Linked DNA regions of Tribolium castaneum. The protein of the gene in region 1 interacts with the protein of each later gene in a biochemical or structural test. Links are inferred from orthologs where the notes say so. Each region holds a gene or a part of one and is shown on either strand. Other genes may lie near its edges. The genes, in order: nuclear RNA export factor 1, Ran and Ref1.

Region 1 (2,494 bases):
TTCTTTTGGGAGAACAGCCATATTTTCAGGCTTCTGTCTTATTTTTTAATGGCAAATAATCTAAAGTCTTGTTCAGTTCGTATTTCTGAATATTGTCTTTATCTCCCAGTCATTTTGGGAATTATGATTAAATGTTATGATTAATATTTTATTGAAGATTTTTTCCTGAGATAAACAATTGTGTATTTTTTCCCAAACTTACCTTGAGTTAGTAATTATGTAATAATAAAAAATTAGCAATCATAAATTAAATTAAGCATTTCCTCAAGTTCAAAAATATTGGTCTAATTTTCACGCAGCAGACAGTCCTAAATCACCCAGTAATTCGAAATATGGCCTGAATCAGATAACTCCAAGCCCAAAATTATCGAAATATAAACGTAATAGCTTCATTAACTCCAAACCCCTTATCCAATAAATAACTCCGCTTGACACTTATTACTCTTTTATGTTTCTGATATTAAATGAGGCAGAGCTTTCGTATTCCCTTCGCACAAGTGTGTTAAATAACACACTTTTCTGGCATAAATCACCCCAAATAAAACAACACTCCTGTTATTCACTATTTATTATAAAAATAACTGACACAGTCTCATTGAAATTAAGCTTCATTCACAAACATAATCGAGTGTTTTTATTTACAGTTGTAATAAAACTAATGATAAACATTATCAAATACAAATTTTATAAAAAGAACAACATGATGACTTAATTCGATTTATTTCACTATTTCACGAACGCTTCAGGCGGGATTAGTCCTTGTTTTTGCGCATCTGCGAACGCACTCAACGCTCGGGTAAAATCCCACTGGGTTTCTTCCAAACACCTGGCAGTAATCAAATTAGCCAAACGTAAATCCACATCTATATTTTACCTCCTTGACCACTCCAAATTCATGGTGGATTGTTCGGCCATTGCGGTGACCATCTGTTGCCTCGTGGAGTCGTCAATGGGCGCAGGGGTTGCCACAGGCGACGCCACCGGAGTCGGGGGCGGCGCCGAAACCACAGTCTTGAAAATATGCTAAAAAAATCACGAGTACAATACAACATTTTTTCTTCAAGTTATTAATCGACAAACCTTGGCTTGCTCGTCGGTGGCGTTTGTAATATGCAGTGTTTCATTCGAGATACAGAAACCTGAGCCTGCAGGTACTATAACGAGTGTTCTGAAAAAGGCTCGCGTCGGAGGCACTTTGTGTCCGCTTTTCAGTTCTTTGAACATCCCAGTGACCGTTAAAACGATCATTAATGGCTGAAGCAACGTTATCACCAACTTGACGAAACCAAAATTCGACTTACCGTAAAAACAACAAGATCAACCGTGAAACTGTGAATATCGTGTTTACTCCGAGGCATTTCTTGCAGAAATGAAACAACAGCCACTTGGCCCTGTTTCAGTAGTTTGTTTCTCCGATCCGGGTCTTGGACCTTTTGCAGATTCCTGCTATCAGTGGTGTACCAGTTTAGCCAACTGGCATTCTTGTCTCTGTGTCCGTACGGGTACGACATGGTCATTGAAAATAGGGCGCTTTCGTGATATGCTTGTAACAAGGGTTGGCGATTTTCCGAATCGAAAATTAGAAAATACTGTTCGAGGAATTGTCGAACTATTGATTCGCCCTCTTGGTTACATAAAAATGTTTGTTGGATTGGTGGTAAGTGGGTTTCTTCCTGAATGTCGAAACTTATGGGTGGGGGTAGATCGATTCCGTCCTTTGAATGGTTTTATGAAGAGGCGAACAAGCAAATTAAATAAACTTACCAGTTTCATTACTTTGGGGAAGCGTTTGCGGACTTCACTGCGGAAAGAGAAGAAGTCACCCGAAGGTGTTAACAATGGAGGTGGCAGATTTGCTCAGCATTTATGTTTAGATGAAAAACAAGAGGTTTTAGTCAAAATGGAATCAGACTGACAAATTGATCGAAATTTAAGCGAGTCAATGTGACAGAAAAGAGAAGCGTAAACTCAGAACGTGTGACTATTTTCGTAACGAACAAAACAAGAAAATTTAATGAAGATGTCTAGAATCTAATAAGAAATTTGTGACGATCAGGAAATCGAAGACGTTCTCCTTCGAGTACATTTAACTTGAATTGACAAAGATCTCAACACGTTAATACTTGAAAATCTCACGAGAACTATTCGCTACGTTTCAAGAATTCGGAATCAATCCGATTAGATTTCGGACAATGGAACATGCTTTGTTTCTTTTATAATCGTTTAGGATTTTATTCTAGTCTTGAAGCACAAAGTTCTGCAAAAAAGCCAGTCTATCTAATCCCCTAATGGTGCCACAGGATACTATTGTACTATACACCTGCTCCAATTTGGATGAAGCACCCTTAGGGACATCCCTTTTTCGTTTTTTATCTTTCATTTAGGGCGGATTTTACAATCGTAGGATTACTTTATCTAAGAAATAAATTTTGAAAAATACATTGTTATAACAATTGTAACCATAGTAATTATACTAGAAATAAATTATCTGGGG
Region 2 (3,764 bases), on another chromosome or scaffold:
TCCCGACGATACCGACCCTCAAGTTGGTGCCCACCCGCCCTATGAGCGGCTTTCTCTCCGGCTCTTGTACCTTTTTAGGTGGCATGATCTGCAACACGAGCAACAAGACCGAATTAAACCACCTTTTAGATAAGGTCACGAGTTGGCATTCTGCGCCTTTTTCGTCCATTTTCCGATATGCAAATCGTCGGTTATGCGTTCAAATAATAACACACATCACCGACTGCAACTTAATTTGCACAAAATAGCAATTTTCAATCTGATACCGAAATTGTAACTTAGGGACTTTGCAGAGCGTTCAGCATTTTTAAAAAAGCACTACATAATAATAAGCTCACCGTTCCATAGGCTACAATTTCGAATTTACCATCAATTCCTACTTTCATATTAATGTAATTTGCCACACAGCGCCCCAGGCCCTTAAATCCGCCGTTATAATTTCGAAATTTCGCTGATTTAATCAATTTTTTACTAAAACAAGAACCGTCTCAAATTTCAACCAAATTCGAAAACGCCGCGACCCGTCATCACGCAAACCACCGCCAGGTGGCGACAAGGACCCACACACGATTTAACCCACAAAAACATAATTCCCGCAAAAACGCGACTAAACATTACGCAAAACAAACTTTTTTGTCATCTAATCCCCAAATAAGCAAAACAACAGCGAGACATGAACCCGATCGGCCCAAAAAACACGTGAAAGTTGCATAACCTCAAAGCCATTCTGTCGTTTTTTACCGCAAGACAAAGCCATTAATCGGAATTTTTTTTACACCGATCCATTCATACACTCGCACTACTCACCTCGATAAGGTCTAAAAGTGTTTTTGTTAAAGAATCAGAAAAACTCACAACACTACACAATCACCGGTAACCTATATTTTGACAGATAAGCGATCTTTTTTTAGGTTCGACGCCCGGCTAAAAGGTGGGCAAAAAAATAAAATTTTGATTTGTTAGCACATTTTCCCAAACGAATCATTCACTAATTATTGATTACTAATTAAAAAAAAACCTGATTATAAAATATCTGTAGCTCCCCCCCAAGCAGGTGTTACTCAATTGTTTAAATGCAAAATTCCCAAGGACACTTTCAACCCCTCAACTAATTAATTATTTTCTCATTAAATCTCTACGGAATTGTAAAAAAAAATATTTGGACAAAGTTGGGTAAGACCTACGAAGAACTCTTAAGACAAAATATATTTTTTATTAATGAATTAATTAAATTTGTTCCTGATCGACGTTCGATCGTTTTTTGTTTTAAATAAAAAATCCCCAAATGCAAATTTGACAACTTGACATTTGCAATTATTTGTTTGTGTGAAAAGTGGGACAAAAATGCAAATTTGAGGTGAAAAAGTGTGTTTTGTGCCAAAATTTCGTGTTTACTGAGTCTCTGGTCCTTCGCTGTGTGTGCTTTGGTGAGTGAAACTCAAAAAAAATTAGTTATAATGAACCCGGCTTTTAACAGACGCTCGGATATAACAAACAAAATTATAAGTCCCGTTTTAAAGTCCTATACCTATTGTAGTAACAAACTGGTTCGGTTTTAACGAACAAACAAACATCACTTTTAACGTCCAATATTTAGGCAAAAATACAGTGGCGTCCGTTTATAACGAACCCATTCATAACACACTTGATTGAGTTGTTGCTGAATTAACGCATAGGAAAGGTAAAATCTTGGCCATTTTCGACCAAATCTGGTGATTTTTTCGTTCCACTTTAATAAAAACAGGAAGAAAACCTTGATTTTTGGTCTAAAAACATGTTAAAATTCTCAGAACTTGCAAAAATAATGTCATTTTTGACATAAGTCTTTGATTTATTGAGAAATTTTGCACAATAATGAAGTTTTTGCTGAATAAACGCTTAGGAAAGATAAAATCTTGGTCATTTTCGACCAAATCTGGTGATTTTTTCGTTCCACTTTGATAAAAAACGAAAGGAAATTTTGATTTTTGGTCTAAAAATGTGTTTAAATTTTCAGAACTTGTAAAAATAATGTCATTTTTTACATAATTCTGTGATTTATTGGTTTACTTTTTAAGAAATTTTGCGCAATTATTGAGTTTTTGCTGAATAAACGCTTAGAAAAGGTAAAATTTTGCTGATTTCCGACCAAATTTGGTGATTTTTTCACTTTAGTTTAAGAAAAACATGAAGAAAACCTTGATTTTTGCTCTAAAAACGTGCTTAAACTTTCAGAACTCGTCATTTTTGACATAATTCTGTTATTTATAATTGAGTTATTGCTGAATAAACGCCTAGGAAAGGTAAATTTCTGGTCATTTTCGACCAAACTCTAAACTCGGACTTATCGGACTTATTTGCCTTATTATCATAATATGTAATATTTTTTAATAAGTCTATTTATACTTTATTTCCTGTATCTATTCCAAACTTTGGAACTCCTTTAACTTGAAAATTGTTCTTTGGGTGTTCGTTATGACCGCGTTCCACTGAATTGTTGATTTTGCTATTGCCCACCTTGTGTGTTTGCGCCAAGTAGAAAATTGCGAAAATTTGTTTGTTTGCGAGTAAATGCGTCTTAGAAATAGTATAGAATTACGTATTCCGGAGCAGTTGATTTCCATTTGGGTCCCGGAGCATAGAATGAGCATCGAATCGCACAATTACCGTATGAAGACATCAAAGCGATCGGAAAGCTCACAGGTTATTCAGGAAACCGCAATTGTTGCAAGTGAAGTGCACAAAAGCTTCACCTACAATAGCATTCGCCACATCCGGAATGTCGTAGCTTTTGGTCCTCTGTGTCGTCGTCGATATAATAAAGTATTGCGTTACTCTTAGCCTCGCCGACAGGAAACTGCAAACGTTATTCTGTCATTTTACGAGCCAGCATTTCAAAAAAGCCCATTCTTTGCAAAACATGTTCATTGGACGGGGGCCCTTGGGCCGCTGCCAAGCCTAATTCGCCATAAAAGTAATGAGTCGCTGCCTCATGATATACATTGTCAAAGAAATAAAAGTTTCTGCCTTTGGGGGCCAAATCAAGACCCGGCTCGCTCTTTTATCACTATAATCAGGCCGCCAGCGCCAAGATGGCCAACATCTCGACCACCACGTGAACAATAAGACGGCTCTGATTTTATAAAACTTTTCGGAAAAATTGCGATTTTTTTTTGTTTGAACGAAGCAACTTCCGAGGGTGCTTCCGGTGCACTGTGTGGCACGGGGCGCGATGCAGCTGTGGGGGGCGGAACGAGACCCGCCGCCGGAGAGGACGTCACCTCCTCTAACACATGGTCGCGTCACAATGTGACGGCTTCTTGTTATTTTATATCGGTAAATGTATTAGCGGAGATGGACGGCCTACTCGTTTCATTGCGACAGGGGTGGACACGCGCCCTTGTTTGCCCCAAACAGACCCCCACGAGAGCGACAACAGTATGGAAAAAAATCTTATTCAATTGTACGAAAATGTGTGCTCACAAAGATGGGACTAAATACTTTCGAGAGATCTTTTTTGAAAACATATTAATCTTCAAATCTCGCTTTAAACCGATTTTTTTTTTGTAATCACAATTTGAGAAACGAAAGGACTCGAAGCAGAAGAGGCTTGTTGATTGGTAAAGTCATAAAACAACAGAAGGTACTAAAATTTTATGAACTGTTGCTCTTTTCGAGCCCTGAAGCCCTTTTTCCACAAGGTTTTGCTAAACCGAACCGAAAAATTAGAAAATTAGATGGAAAACGATTACTTTTTGCTTTTTATGAACTAAAAACTCAGTTTT
Region 3 (2,862 bases), on another chromosome or scaffold:
TTTCAGGATTATTCTACAATTCCTTACAATAAATATTAATTAATTAAAAAAATCAATATAATAATTAATTAACTAAATTTATAGTCTTAGGGACTAGTTACTGTACAAAGCCAAATAAAATTTAATTCAGGATTAAACTTCAGTGGTGGAGAACTTACGGATAAAACGAACTAGTTTTCCGTTCATAACGAACTTTTCACAGAATTTTGAGAAATATGTCGGGGTTGATAGTAAGTATTTAATATAATAGAGAAGTGTTAACTGATGAACAAATTATTAACTAACTAAAAATAAATATTTTTTGTGTTTTGACATCTAATTACTGTGTAATTAACTACTTAATCCAAACTTTTATTATTTTTTGGGATATTAGAGGTTGAAACTTTCACTTCAGCGTCTAAAAATTAATCAGAAACGCAATATCAACTAGGAAATTGGGATTGCGTCTTTTGAGTACTTTTCCCAAAGTTTATATGACTAACAGACGGTGATTTGAGCAAACGAGCGTATGCGAGTTACATAATATACACCCGAGAACTTTAAACGTTTTCGCGTGAGTGTTTGTTTTGTTGGAATTTTTAAATTAAATTAATATTTTTTTATTACATTTTTTAAATTTCTTTTAAATTTAAACGTGTTCACATTTGATTTTTTTTACTTTTAATGGATCAAATAAAGAAAGTCTAACATTACACAATATTTCAATTCTGCCAAAGATTCTTCAAACACTAAAATGTGTTAATGAGTCAATATAAATAAACATCTGTTTTGTATTGACAATATTTTAACATACATTAGGTAGAAGAACAAAATTTCATTTACAAATACCTACCTACATAAACTGGTAGAACAAAGTTTGAAAAAAATTGAATGTATAGGGAACCAATAATACAGCGGTGTTTTTACATTGGTGTAAATAGGTTACCTATTTCATAAACATAAAAATAAGTTTTTATTCTTTGTTTCTGTATTATGCTGAAAATGCAAAAAATTGCCTAATACATGCGGTCGTATTTTTTTTTGGTAAAATCCGGGCAGGTTCCTGTGTTGCCGACAGCGCAGTGACGTGGCGCATGCGCACAGCGTCTGTCGTTCATTTTGTACGCCATTTTGTCGTTGGTTGTGTGCGTTGCCGCCGGGTGTAGAAAAAGTGAATTTCTCAGTCAAATCAGCGTACAAAATCAGTAAAAATGGTCGACACAATTGAAATGAGTTTAGATGAGATAATAAAATCCAAGCCCCGGCGCGGCGGCCGTCGCGGAGGTCGCGGCGGAACCCGCGGGGGTGGCGCGCCAAGACGCGGCACGTTCCGAAGAGCCGGCGGCGTCCAAAGGGGCCGAGGACGCGGAGGAATAACGCGCCAGTACACCCGGGTAATTGTTTCTAACTATGTTTATACTTAAGCTGCCCCGCGATGGAAGCGGCTAGCGTGCATCCAGCCGGAGAGCCGGAATTTACCCCCATCCATGTTTGTTTAGGGAGATGTGAACAGTGCTTGGAAGCACGATCTGTTCGAGGGCTACGGCCCGCGTAAAGTGGCCGCGGCTCGGGCCGTTGTGCAGTCCAATGTGGGCCCCACTAAGCTCATGGTGGGCAATTTAGACTTTGCGGTCTCCGACTCGGATATTCAGGAATTGTTCGCCGAGTTTGGGCCGCTAAAGAGCGCCTCGGTGCACTATGACCGCTCGGGGCGGTCGCTCGGCACCGCTGATGTGATTTTCGAAAGGCGCACCGACGCTATTAAGGCCATGAAGCAGTACAACGGAGTGCCTCTCGACGGACGCGCCATGAACATTCAAATCATCACGTCGGAGATTCCGTCGCCGGTCAGGAGGCCCACGGGAGAGAGGAAGTTCCAAAGCAGAAGAGGGGCTGCACCTGCCAAGGGACGACCTAACAGAGGTACAATTACTTGACCAGCGGCGGCGACGCCTCCAACAGCCGGATTTTTCAACTAAACAAATGTTTGTTTGCCAGGTCGTGGAGGAGGACGAAGTTTCAGAAATCAAAAGAAACAACCGACAGCTGAAGAACTCGACGCTGAATTAGACGCCTACACCAAGGAGATGAAATAAAATAAGTGCTATTAATATCAGAGACGCTCAACGCGCCACTTTTTGTGACTTGTGTTTAGTTCTTTCGTATTTTTATTTTGTATTTTGATTGTAACATCGAGCCTTACATTTTATAAAAAATAACCACTAAAGTACGAGGATTACGTATGCGGTTCGTTTTTTCCACAACTAAATCTAGTGTTAGGCTGTTTTCTCTTGTTAATGTAAATTGTATTGATAGGAATAAATAAGAATTAAGTGTGACTTGTCGTTTCATTAGAAATTTTTTTTATTTATACATAAAACTGCATCAGCCAAATGTATCACATGACGTTAAGACCGAGTTGTATAAAAAATTAATCGCCTTCAATCTTGATTTAAAACCATAATAAATCTTGTAACAGTTGTCGCTAAAGGCACGTTGACACGGATCGATTTTAGTCGTTTATTTCAAGTTGAACAATAAAACTTCAACAAAAATCATCGTCAGAATCTTTGTTGTGTCTTAAGTGGATCAAGTTTTTTACGATGATTTCCATTAAAAATTTTCATCTTTAATTGAACAACTAAAGTGGGTCCGTGAGAACTTGCGTTTAGGGTTTATATTACTAAATATACGACAAAACAAATTACAAAAAGTACATCCAATCGAAGCGAGTGCACTCAACGTAATTTTCATCAATAAAGAATACTAAAAGAAAATAATAATTTATTAAGCAACAGTGTAAGATTAATAATTATAGTAACTGAGCTGTCTTGTGGCTGCTTGTAATGTTCACAATTTTGTATCAAAATTAAATTACATTAA

What was found.
Region 2: the proteins of nuclear RNA export factor 1 (region 1) and Ran form a complex in vitro, tested with the Homo sapiens proteins (2 studies listed by BioGRID). The link is inferred for Tribolium castaneum from reciprocal best matches to the Homo sapiens genes NXF1 and RAN.
Region 3: the proteins of nuclear RNA export factor 1 (region 1) and Ref1 form a complex in vitro, tested with the Homo sapiens proteins (2 studies listed by BioGRID and IntAct). The link is inferred for Tribolium castaneum from reciprocal best matches to the Homo sapiens genes NXF1 and ALYREF.

The regions. Positions count from the first base shown.
Region 1 is NC_087399.1:3,674,882-3,677,375, reverse strand, and holds the end of nuclear RNA export factor 1, read right to left. Parts: intron 1,802-2,494; coding exon 1,765-1,801; intron 1,716-1,764; coding exon 1,302-1,715; intron 1,255-1,301; coding exon 1,081-1,254; intron 1,024-1,080; coding exon 875-1,023; intron 827-874; coding exon 727-826; 3' UTR 554-726; downstream 1-553.
Region 2 is NC_087395.1:25,444,918-25,448,681, forward strand, and holds the start of Ran (GTP-binding nuclear protein Ran), read left to right. Parts: upstream 1-1,295; 5' UTR 1,296-1,427; intron 1,428-3,764. UniProt on the Homo sapiens protein: GTPase involved in nucleocytoplasmic transport, participating both to the import and the export from the nucleus of proteins and RNAs. Switches between a cytoplasmic GDP- and a nuclear GTP-bound state by nucleotide exchange and GTP hydrolysis.
Region 3 is NC_087395.1:19,979,796-19,982,657, reverse strand, and holds Ref1 (THO complex subunit 4), read left to right. Parts: upstream 1-1,078; 5' UTR 1,079-1,190; coding exon 1,191-1,373; intron 1,374-1,478; coding exon 1,479-1,902; intron 1,903-1,977; coding exon 1,978-2,075; 3' UTR 2,076-2,318; downstream 2,319-2,862. UniProt on the Homo sapiens protein: Functions as an mRNA export adapter; component of the transcription/export (TREX) complex which is thought to couple mRNA transcription, processing and nuclear export, and specifically associates with spliced mRNA and not with unspliced pre-mRNA.